Linked DNA regions of Schizosaccharomyces pombe. The gene in region 2 interacts genetically with the main gene of each other region. Each region holds a gene or a part of one and is shown on either strand. Other genes may lie near its edges.

Evidence for each region.
Region 1: mutations in apq12 (region 2) and sad1 are lethal when combined (synthetic lethality), as found in Schizosaccharomyces pombe (one study listed by BioGRID).
Region 3: mutations in apq12 (region 2) and kms2 are lethal when combined (synthetic lethality), as found in Schizosaccharomyces pombe (one study listed by BioGRID).

The regions. Positions count from the first base shown.
Region 1 is NC_003423.3:2,301,663-2,307,191, forward strand, and holds sad1 (protein Sad1), read left to right. Parts: upstream 1-2,103; 5' UTR 2,104-2,519; coding exon 2,520-4,064; 3' UTR 4,065-4,095; coding exon of another isoform or gene 4,096-4,578; 3' UTR 4,579-4,999; downstream 5,000-5,529. Other genes in the region: DNA polymerase delta subunit Cdm1, read right to left, coding at 4,096-4,578.
Region 2 is NC_003423.3:447,315-449,958, reverse strand, and holds apq12 (nuclear membrane organization protein Apq12), read right to left. Parts: upstream 1,026-2,644; coding exon 678-1,025; 3' UTR 561-677; downstream 1-560. Other genes in the region: arg12 (argininosuccinate synthase), read left to right, coding at 1-188. UniProt on the Schizosaccharomyces pombe protein: Involved in the regulation of lipid homeostasis in the endoplasmic reticulum, thereby impacting nuclear pore complex biogenesis and localization, and nucleocytoplasmic mRNA transport.
Region 3 is NC_003423.3:646,406-650,790, reverse strand, and holds kms2 (protein Kms2), read left to right. Parts: upstream 1-1,771; 5' UTR 1,772-1,801; coding exon 1,802-1,864; exon of another isoform or gene 1,865-1,907; coding exon 1,908-2,654; exon of another isoform or gene 2,655-2,720; coding exon 2,721-3,284; 3' UTR 3,285-3,855; downstream 3,856-4,385. Other genes in the region: DNA replication factor C complex subunit Elg1, read right to left, coding at 1-811; rba50 (RNA polymerase II-associated protein), read left to right, coding at 4,213-4,385.

The DNA.
Region 1 (5,529 bases), 1.9 Mb from region 2:
AGAACAATTGAATCTCATCCGTGTTTCGTGTCTTCCTCTACATGAGCAACGTGCCTAGGGCGAATTTAGCTACACACTAGCAATGGCTCTAACATATTAACATCTCTTACTACACTATGGTTCACTGGTTTTAACCTTACAACAAGCTCTAACCCAACTGTAACTTATAACCTTACAATGGCTCTAACCTGACAGTAGCTTGTAACCTAATAGCGGCTCGTGAACCTACCATAACTAGTGTGCTTTGTTACAAATCGGTGAATAAAGTAATTTTACTATTACCGTTTAGGAACATACTCATACAACTGCTCTTCGGCGTTAATATTGCGGTCCGACACGTTGGTTAATAAAACTATCTCCTCCGGGATTTCCTTGCTGTAGCCATTACGATATGCGACGTTGATTCACAAGATGTTGCATTATAGCATCCTGACTTGAACCACCTGCAAAAATTTTTTTCATTCTTAGGCGTTTGTTTATTTACTCACCACCCACAGGTGATAATTTGCTATTCACGTTGCACTGCTTTACTTACCGAACGGATCAATTCCACATAGCGAGAGATATCGTAAACGGCAAACAATGTCTGAATTTTCATATGAGTTATTCCACATTGTCAGCTCTATCTACTTTGATGGATCACAAGTTTTCCCGGATTTTAGGGTTGCTCAATAAGCTAACATCGGTTTCGGCCCATGAATGATGTCCAGCGCATGGTTTCTCGTTTGTGTCGCAACACCTAGTCCTGAAGTAGCTGAGTGAGTGTATAAGGTACAGAAATGAAATGAAGTCGTGAGATGAATACACAATCATGAGACATACTTGGCGCCACGTTGAGTAATTGAAATGATTGAACCTTTTTTGACGGTTGGTTGAGCAGATTGATTATTGAGGTTTTATTTATTAGGATTCATTATGTAGCGCACAGGATCAAATACTAGGTTGTGCAATACTACTCGACATTGCCTCAATTCATTACTTTCGCTAGCCAAAAAAACAATACGGGCTAATTGGAAGTTAAACGTGCCATAAATTTCGTCCTTGTTGAAATACTGACGTTTTCAAAGTTACGCATAGCTTGTCTTTGATTCCTTATATACAACATTGTGCAGTTTCTGTTGAATGTAGTGAAACCAAGCGATGAATAAGCTCAAAACATGAAAATTTTTCGTTTCATTTTTTTTTGACAGGACCGTATCAGTGTCGCAGTAAAATGGGATCCTAAGTATGCAAAAACAAGCAGTTAGTTAGACAATTTATGGTTGCGTATTGCTGCTACCTTCGCAATCGGCACAATATTCAAGCAATTTGAAAGCGACTGAATGCCCGAATTTCATTGGCTATATGATGAAAAGCGAAAATCCTACTTTGACGAACTATAAAGTATAATATTCAGCGGCAATGTTGTATTAAACAGTAGAAAGGTTTATTAAAGGTTTATTAAATGTTTATTTACTCAATTGATCATTGTTGAAATTTGCTTTTGAAAATCATTGGCGTAGATTCTCGTGTCGATGAAATGTATCCCTAACAAACGCAAAAACGTTTTTTCAATGCCTAGAAATTGAAGTCGTTGAACTACTACTACAGCAAAATGCCAAATCTGTTTACTTAACTGATTAAAAGTGAAACGATACTGAATACTTTTGATTTTTCAAATAAATTTGGTAGCATATGATCGGTTTCTTGTTCTTTTTCTTTAAAAATTGGAAATCTAAATGCAAACGAAGTAATATTAATAGTGGTAAAAATATTAATAGGTATGGAACTTGCTATTTTATAAGGCTGCTTTATTACTTGAATCCATCAAACTTCTCACTTCACTGAACAGTTTTGCCATGCTCTCACGAAAACTCCTAAATTACCAAACCTGTTTTTTATATAAACACGCGAATTGCTGGATTTGGATCCTATCAGCTTCAAGTACTTAATTCATCAGCGTTCAAACCCTCTTGTATTAACAGTCTACCATTTTTATTCATCAAATATTTCTCGCTTTATTTCCATATATTATGTTATGAATATTTATCGATTGTCAGCGATATATAACGTAGTAAATTCTTAGTGTATACACTTACCGTAAACACAACAAAACTCTTTCTCAGCAGTCAATCTTCGTACCGTCCATTTCTAGTGTGTTTATCTTGGTATTGTATCCTTTATTGTTTGTGAAGGAATTTTCCAGTATTGGAATTGGAATGATACCTCAAGAAAGGTATACTCTGCTAGGGTAGGATCAATTACATACATTGTGTGTATAGGTATCTGTTTTCACATAAAAAAGGCGTCAACGATAATTCGTCTGTTATTAATAATTTATACATTCGCATAAAGCGATCAAAAAGGCATTCAATTACAGAATCCTACTTAAGCTTCACTTTTTTGAATACGAACACTAATTCAAATTCTCGCCTTCCAATACTCTCTTTTCAATTTTTGTCTCTCTTTTTACATATTTATTTATCACTGATTCGTTTGTATATTTTTCTTTTAATTTTCAAATAGCCTTTTATACATCAATGTTTACTAATACACCGGTTGGAGGGAAAAGAGAGCGTCAAAATGGCGCTCATCCAGCTTGGTCGACGTTAGGAGCGAACTCTGCTCAGATTCATCAAAATACGGCTGATTTGGCCTCCAAAATGCATAAACTTCGCTATACAAAGATAAGGTCCCCTCCTACCAGGGTGTCCATTGAATCAATTACTCCTAAACAAAGATTTCCAGCTCCCAATTTCGAACAGGCTTACCACTCTAATATTCGATACGAGCAAGAGGAATCTGATAACGAAGAATTTGAAAACGTAGTGAAAAATGGACACGAAGCTTCGACGAATGTATTCTATGAATCAGATGGAGATGATGAAGAGTTTGTCAATGAAGAATACGAAAACAGCATCGACGAGGAAAGTGATGATGAAGGGTATAGCTTGAACGAGGATACCACCGCAACAAATGCCAGTTTTAGGTACCCGATGAATCAAAGATCTACAAGGAAATCTCAATTTTATTCCTCAAAATTTAAACCATTACTTTGGTTCGGTATCACTCTCTTTTCGACTCTCCTAATAATTACTCTACTTCACAAGGGTCAAGAATTTTACTCAAGATCATTTTCATCAGATAATTCCCAACCATCTAATTCGCCCGTACCAAACATTCCTCCTGCATCCAATGACACCAAAACAAGTTTAAAGCCAGATATTATTAAAGACTTCACAGATTCACCTTCTAAAGTTGGCGGCAATGAGGAATTCGATTATTCGACGGGAGATTTAATTACAAAAAAGGAATTTGACAAGATTTTACAACAAAAAGTAGAGCAATTAAAACAGTCGCTAAAGGAGGAGATGTCTAATTACAAATCATCGGTCCCATTTGAAGTTGAACTAAATGACGATTGGAAGTTCTTCATCGAATCTACGGTTCGAAAATACTTGACCGATCCGGTTTCCATGCCGAATTTTGCATTGCTCTCAACAGGAGCGGAAGTACTACCTGCCTTAACCTCAAAACGCTATGTGAGACGACCATCTGCATTCATACCACGATTTACCTCCTATTTCTTTGATTCGCTCGTTGTTAGAGGACACGAACCTAGCATAGCATTAACTCCCAACAACGCAGTTGCGATGTGTTGGAGCTTTCAAGGTTCAGAGGGACAATTAGGAATTTCCCTATCACGCCCTGTATATGTAACCAATGTCACAATAGAGCACGTTCAGCACAAGATTGCTCATGATCTTTCTAGCGCTCCCAAGGACTTTGAGTTGTGGGTTCAGGGAATGTCCAGCAAGATGTTTGTATTGTTGGGAAAGGCGAGATATTCTTTAACGGAAGACTCTATTCAAACTTTTTCGTTTGAATCCTCCAATTATATTGTCGCTGAACCGATACAGAATGTGATCTTAAAAATAAAAAGCAACTGGGGAAATCCCAATTACACATGCTTGTATCAAGTTCGAGTTCATGGGACTGTACCCAATGCAGACGAACAACCAATACCTTCTTTAGGTGAGAAAGCCGAAAGTACTGCAGAGAATACGGGTCAAGATTCATCTTAAAGACCTACAAAATGTAAGATATAAAAATAATCTAGCCTGGAATGGTTTGAAGATCATAAAAGAGCGATTCTCTTTTTCGATTTTCCTCATCTGCTTCCTCGAGCATCAATATCTTTCCCACTGTTTCTGGAGGATTTAAATTGAAGTTTTTTGCACGTTTCCAGCGTTGCATCCTTGTCATACCAAGATATGGTCCATATCTTGCCGTAGTGTCAAAGTGATGCAAAATGAACTCTACTTTGGTTATATTTTCACAATGTATTGGTTCACTAATCCTTTCAGCCATAATTTGATTCCAAGCCTCTTCTACCTCTTTTGAAAGCTCATCGTCTTCTTTAATTCTCTCATCCAAGGTTTTGGTTGTAATTGTAACATCGGGTGTAGGCGACTGTTCAGAACTCACTTTCTTCCCTATGTGGGATTGACTTGAATTACTTCGAACTACATGTGGAAACACGTCGCGAATATTAGTGTTTTGCCCTGATTTTTTCGCTTGAGTAGTGCGCTTCTTCATACTGCGTGATATAATTCTGTAACACTGCGGTACTAGAATGAAAGGTGCACTATAAATCCAATTCTTTTTCGTGTTTACTCAATTTAGAGCATTAGTTTGTTTGGCCAAAAGAAATCTCTGAAAAAGTACATTTGGTTGCAAGTGTACTTTTAATATGTATATATAACTTTAGATGACTACTATAGCGATGTTTAAAATGCGTCACGCTGACGAGAAAATAAGTATCCAGCCATCCGCTCGTTCTTTATCGTTATACATATATCAGCCTTCATATATATTATTATTCATTTAGGTCCAAGTATTTAAGTGCATTATTGATAATTATTAAAATAGAAACTTCTTGACGACCCCTATTTCGGTATTTCTAGTTCGTTGTTGGAGCAAACAAGAAGTAAACAATACTCGTTATTAGTTCAGATAGTATTGTGGAAATTTCATAATTAGATACAAGTATTTTAGCAATACGTGTTGTCTTAATCCAGCCTTGGTCATGCAATTGAATCACTTGCCAGCCTTCCTAACATATCTTTAATACGTTTCTAAAAAGGGTTTTGGTCTTTACCGATTTAAAATAGGCAATTTCGTAAATGCAAATAGATATACTTATTAACATTTTCAAAATTTAAAAAATTTATAGTTAAATAGCTTTGAGTATTGCAAAATTTGTCTTTTGTGCTTTGCTAAAACAGCGTAACTTTTTACACTGCAATTGAAGCACAAAGACAGTTGAAACTTCAATTCCCTTACAGCTTTTAGTAATTTAAGTATCTAGTTTCATTAAGTTGTCTTTTTTTAAGGGCTTTTAAACTGTTAGTTATACAGTGGTAAACAAACTGACCGGGCTTTCTCAATGATTAAACTGCACTATCATTAAATACAGTGTAGTCAACCAAATTGTTATATTTTTTAATGCAGTCGATAAATTTACATAATGCTTTCAAACGTGAAAGA
Region 2 (2,644 bases):
TTAAACTTTCTGTCTACAAGGGCAATGTCACTGTCCTCGGTCGTAAATCTGATACTGCTCATCTTTATGACGAGAAATTGTCATCTATGGATGAGCTTGGTGGATTTGACCCTACATGGACCTCTGGTTTCATCCAAATCGAGTCTATGCGTTTGCGTAACTCTGATGAAGGAAAACATTGGATGTAAATGCCAGGTCGTTCTCAATAATAATGTCATACTCACCATGTACTTGAGCCAAGCAATAATCAAATTTCTGCTGTGCAAATAAGAAGTATTATTTGAGATGGCTTCCTTTTCATATTCACATTTCATAGAATTACTCCGTTCATATCACTGATAAGTCAATTGAATATTTTTGTTGCAAAAAAAAAATAAATTCTGAAAACTGTAACTAATTGAAATTGAAGTTTTATATTGCAAACGCAAATTGTTAAGATGTTTAATGTACTCAATACTATGCTTTTAATTTAAAAAATATTTTACAGGCCTTTAGCCATTCTTCGTATACAGTCCTAAAATCAAGAATAATGTCGAAACCATCTTGAATGATAAATGAAATGAGGAACAAAAAAGATGAAAAATATATTACTAAAATAAAATTTTTTAAAGCATATCCATAACACTTTGTACTCGGTAATCTGAAAAAACAAAGAAGATAACGCTGCTAGTCAATGTTCAAAAAGATCCGTTATTGATAAACCAGTAAGCAAAGAGACAACCGATTAGTAAGAAAAAAGAAATTACAGCAAGTGTTTTGAAGAGGGCAAGGGCAATACTGGTAGTCTTATTTACAATGACCAAAGAGAAGTATAACACTATAATCAAAGTCAAGATATTAATAGCTGAGGGCAAGCTCAATCCTAGATTTCCATTGAACAATGATTTTAGGAAAGACGTTTCATATTTTTCGAAACTTTTGCCTACATTTTCAACGGTTTGAAAGACTTGATCAGGATTGGTATTTAATCCATGGTCCACAGCAAGTTTGGCGACGAAATTCCATAAAACGGATGTCAAAGACATTTTCTAAAAAGTTAAAATATGAACGGGGAGTAATAGAGATGGGAGTAGTTAGGTGTGCTTTTTGACTGAATGTTGACGTTGTAGGCGAATTTTACCAACGATTACATTTGCTAATAAAATATGTTAAAATAAAAATTGGAAGATGAGTTGAAATAAACGGTTCTATAAACAAAACTCATTTAAAGAAAGAACTGGCAAACAGATTATGTCAACATATCTCATCTAATATCGAGACTACTGATAAAAAAATCTAATTTGCTAATGACTACAAGCTTTTATTGTTTACTCTTTGTTGCTTACAGTTCTAGTCAAAGGAGGTATTTTATTTTCGTATTTCGCTGTACATAGCATAATTTCATGAAATGCTTTTCTCTATAAATATGCTTTTATAAAGAACTAGTTAATAAAAAATTGCTTATTTCTAAGCTCTTTTAGGATTAGTAATATATAAAAAGGAAGATAAGTATTTTTATCCCTTTTTAACTGGATTGTTATTACTATAAAAGAAAGACTCTTACGGTTGATAATAAAAGCGTAGAGATCAGAAGATAAAAGTAGAATTCACCGCCTATATTTCCTTTGGAATAAATATCCAACAGTATACTTACTATTATAGAGAGAAAATTAATTTCCCTTTGCCCTTTATCATATAAAATGGTTCTTTTTATGCTGAGTGCCTAGCATAATTCCTTCCTTTTCGAAATATCAAAAGGCTTGTGAGACTTCAATTGGTAAATGCTTTAAAGTGAGTTATTACTAGCTCGCTTCAACCACTTCAGCTTGATTCTCCAATAACCGAGTTTTCAAAAGTACTCATTCTTGCAATTGCTATAAAATTTTTATCTTTATTTATACCATTACCATTGTAATATTGTTATAAGGCATCGCTTTACTTACTGAACATAAAAAAAATCTTCATCATAAAATTAATTAAATGTCAGAATAGAAAAAAGTGTTTAGAGGGTCCAACCGTACAAACAAACAACTTTTACGTTTTTAACATTTTCATTTCTTCAATAACCCCACAGTTGTTTTAAGCTATTACTTAAGCGAGGGCTGCACATGACAATGTGGCTAGTATACCCTTTATATACATTTTGAATATGCATATGAAACCCATTATATTAACGCTGGAATAGCGGGAATGCTTGTTTATTATATTAATTTATTCTATTGGAATGAATAAATCTTTTTTCTGGACATTTAAGAACGGCATGAAACAAGTAGCTCTAATAAATTAAATTGTTGGATCTTACTAAAGACTAAATATTAATAATAATTTTCTCCCAAGCTATTTATATACATATTAGAAGCAATTTGCAAAGATAGCAGACTAATACTCTTCAATGCCCAACTTCTTATTAGTGATATACATGTAAAAATATCTTTATTATGCAATATTATGTAGCAGCTCGTACAATGTTTGCACATCTTTACACAATAGTATTCATTTTGTATTACATTATCATTTATAATTCCATTTCACAGAGAGTAGGCATTGCTATTATATAATATAAATTTATATAAAACAAAAAGACTGCAAAATCATTTCCAACTGAAACTTCGTTCTTTAGTTCTATTAAATTATTAAGTATTGGAATATCAGATTTTTGTAAGTT
Region 3 (4,385 bases), 200 kb from region 2:
TTTTATTTTTCTCAGCTAATGGGGTTATCATATTCGCGGTGGTGGAGGAAAGAACCTCCTTAAACGAAAGATGAGAGGTCTCTTCTAAAATGGCTTCTTCTAAATGCTTTTTCGGAAACCAGAAAACACTCGGCTCAATAGAGCCGGCATACTCTAACATACTCTGGGAATCGGGTGTCGGCCATAATGGATCAAGTAACCTCTCTGGCTTAGTACCGCCTCTTTCTTCACTTACAAATTTGATTTCAGAATTCTTTTTCACAGACTTTGACATGAAAAACGGGTGCATGGATGTGACAGTATTTCGCAGATTACTAGGTGAATCTGCTAAGTTTGAATAATGTAACTCGGAAACAAGGGGGGAAGAATTAACTGTTTCCTGTGAATTAATATTCTCAACTAAAATATTAGTATCTGATGCTTCTCCCGACGACTTAGCAGGCGGAAAGGCAGTTGAGTTGGTATCATTGCTGAGTTTTGGGTGTAATATATTCTCAATTTTTTGACCCAAGGAAGTCGATACTTTAAGCGTTACTAGTAAAGATTGATCATTTTCAAAGTCTTTGCTTTCCTCCATATCCATATCAAAGAATTTCCTCATGTAGCTACGTTCCTTATGAAGTGATCGGCTTCTTCGAGGTTTACGAGACCCTGACAAAGGAGATTTGCCAAAATATTTATTTTCAGATGTGGCAGGGACTGGTGACATTGTGTGTCTCCTCCCAATAGGCTTTTCTTCTTTTGCTTCATTTTCGGATTTTAAATCAGGATTACTCTGCGAATCTGCAGACAAATAGCCTACAATTTGCATAGGGATCTTCAATCACCGCATAAGTTCAATAAAAGTCCTAGTTTGAATGATTTTTAGAAATAGTTTCACAGGTTTCTCAGCTTTCAACAGTTTGGTTAAGGAGAGGTAGACAAAGACTCCGTGTACTAGTGAACGAGTATTGGGAATTCGATAAGCTTATAGTTTAGATTTATTTATTTTTAAGTATGTTTTAGATTACTGAAATTCCTAAATAAAATATCGTTGCACCATTGAAGCAACACGATCCTCCATATTATCATTGTTATGTGTAAGCTGTCAGTAATTGAATAGAGAAGTAGGAGATATAATCGTCACAGTTAAGCTTTTTCATCTCTTTTAAAAACGACTTACCAACTTTTAATGTGAGTTTGCTTATTCCATGCAAAGAAAACCGAGTTCAATAGCTATTAATCCATAGCCTAACATAATCAGTGAAATAGTCAAAAGAAAAATTTGATACTAATATACTTTTTAGAAAATTTTAAAGAATTTGTATAATTACTATTTCTACTACCGCCAATTAGTCGGAACGCTGACTAACTTTTTGTGCATCGTTGTAAAATAAAGGAGAGCAGAATTTCACTTGTTTATGATTGTAGTAAATTTTCTAAGTTAAGTAGTCTATTTACTTCAATTAAGTAAATCTAGATTCAAGAAACGGATCACATTTGTTTATCTGTTTATTTATTTGTTTGTTTTTTAAAAAAAGGTAAGTGTAAAGCTTTCCTTCCACTTTAACTCAATCAGTAAAAAATAATTTATTTTGAAGATGATTTTGCTAACAATTTTATACATTTCGTACTGCAACATTTTGCTAAAATATCCTGTTTATGTTTTGACTTGCACTTTGTTTACTTTTTTAAGGCAACTTCTATAACGTATTGTTCTGCATTACATTACAAAAATAAGAAAATCGCACAAGTTATCGTTAACAAACCTGCCTTTATACTAATTCTGTTTAACCAAAGCACATGTCAATAAACAATCAAAATGGATGAATACATCCCTTTTGACGATATTGTGCGCCAATACGACCCAGATTATACAGGAAAAGTAATTTCTCATTACTTGAAAAATAGTTTCTAATTTTCGACAGGTTTCCATTCAAGCATTTTTAGAAATTGTCGACGATGTTGACGCATTGCGACTTAATCCAGAGGCCCCTTTGCTTGATAATGAGCAAAGACAATCGGCCCAAGATTTTATAAAAGATAACAGTGAGATTGTAGTGTCTACGAGTGAAATTAAGAATTTGTTTTATGAGTTAACTGGTCTTGACCCTGATACCCTTCCTGTAAACAAATTAGCTTTGCGCGAGAATGGGGTATTACCAAGAAAAAGTGTAGCGAAGCCTCAAAAAATATCAGAAAATCGAATAAAGAGAAAAGATATGTTTTATCAAGACGCAAGTTACATAACACCAAGAAAAGGATCACCTTTGAGTCATTCAACCCCTTTGTCAATGTTTCGAACTAAAAATGAATATGGATCAAATAAAGGATTTTCTCATATAAACAAGGAAAATGCTGATGATTCTTTAATTCAACAGCTTTATGAAAGGATAGAGCTTCAAGCGGCAGAATTACGTTCTAAAGACGAGCAAGTTAAAGAACTAAACGCGCGAAATGCAAAATTATTGGAGGAATTGGATTCTTCGGAAGAAGCTTGCAAGTCTTGTTATACCCAAGCGAAAACCTGGGAGAAAAAATTTCGTGAAGCTCTTCGTGATTCTAAGGAGTATGCAGCTCAATTACAAACCATTCATGAAGAGTATGAGCAACAGCAAGCCCATATTGTGAGAATGGAAGAGCTAATCCATGCTGTAGAAAAGGAAAGGAAAACGGTATGATTTTTAAGAATATGCCTTATTCGAGGTAGAGACAAGCCAGTTTACTAATTTGTTTAATAGGAAACAGATTACATGAAGAAAGAATCTTTGTCGGAACAAAAAGAAAGAGGCGCTTTTATGGAGTCAAACATGATTTTAGAAGAAAAGGTTGCACATCTTCAGTTGGAAAACGAGCAGTTGAGACTATTTTTTAAGGAAAAGGCGCCTCAACCCTTCCAAAATCACCCTCCGTATCAAAATCTAAAAATTACTTTTCCCAGCCCTTTCTTTCACATCCCTTACATCCCTAAAACGGAGACTTTGAACGATTCCCAATTTGCCGCTGGTCTCTCTTTACTGGCATCAGAACTTGAAAGTCAAAAAAATCTGTTAAAGAAGTTCGAAAACTTAAAAAAGAAGTCTTCCAAAGATTTTTTATCTCCCTCCACCATACTCTCTAATGCTTTTTCCAAAGTTTCACTCCCCAATTCTTTAATTTTGCGTGTCTTATTTTTTTCATTGTTGTTCATCATCGGAATTCATATTTTTTATTTTTTGTTTTTTCATGTTGCAACAATTCAACAATGGCCTTTTCTTTTTTGGTTACCATCTACAAAATTCGACAATCGTTGGTCTCCGACATGAATCTTAGATTCAAGTTTAATCCAATTTTTATTTTCAAAGCACGGATTCCAAACTTAATTGCTATAATTGAACATTGATTCAAGATTTATGTATATTGGAATAATTGATGTATTTATGGGGCTCTGCTCAATTCAAGACGATCTGTATCTTCTAACTCTTCGCCTGATAGGCAACGGACAAGAAGTTTACATTGAGCTAATAATTAGTCGCATCTCATCTGCGTTTGGTTTTAGGTGTGTCATATGAAAAAGGGTTAAAGCGACGTTTTTCGTTTTTATGTTTGAATTAAGATATTTTCTCTGAGACGAAATATTTTTAGTGTTTATCATTCTTTTCTTGTCTAATCTTCTACTCGCCACTCATTTTTCTGTTCTCTATTTTTTCTTTTTGGATGAATGTCGTTTCTTCTAATAACTTCTTTCTTTCTTTAATCTTCAAGGATAGCCCAAGTCCTATTAAACTCGGATACTATCTTTCTCATAATTTCTCTTTTATAACTAGAAAACTTTTTCACGAATTAATTATTTATTATGCACTTTTAATATTAAATGAAAAGTATTGAATTAAAAAAGGAAAAAACCATCCATTTTTCATATCATGTAAACATTTAGTTTTTTTTCCATACAATAAATCAATTTTTACAGTTACGTTATCATATATAGTGAGATGTACCGTTATTTTGTGAGCGCAAAATAGCTAAGAAAATGAGAGAAAACGTAACCATCCCTGCAATCTACCAAATGGTATGTAAATAGTGAAAGGGAGAAAAAACTCATAAGGTTGAAGTATTTATTATTCATTTAATCAGAATCTCATAATACTATCTCAGAGGGCTTTATTCGTGAGGTTTGAAGAAATTGACCCTTAAATTCTTATAAAAAGGAAACATCTACATACAAAAAGCAGATATTTTCAAAATTCAATCGCTATGGAGAATCACAGGAGTGTATTCTCAAATGTGATAGGTGATATTGTTGAAAAACCGCCGAAGCAACTTGTTGAAGTGAAGAGGTCAGTTCAGCGGCATGCTAGGGGATTTCCAGCCGTTTCACGAACATTGCCGAAACGAGAATCGAAATCAATGAGTGCTTATAAGGAGAA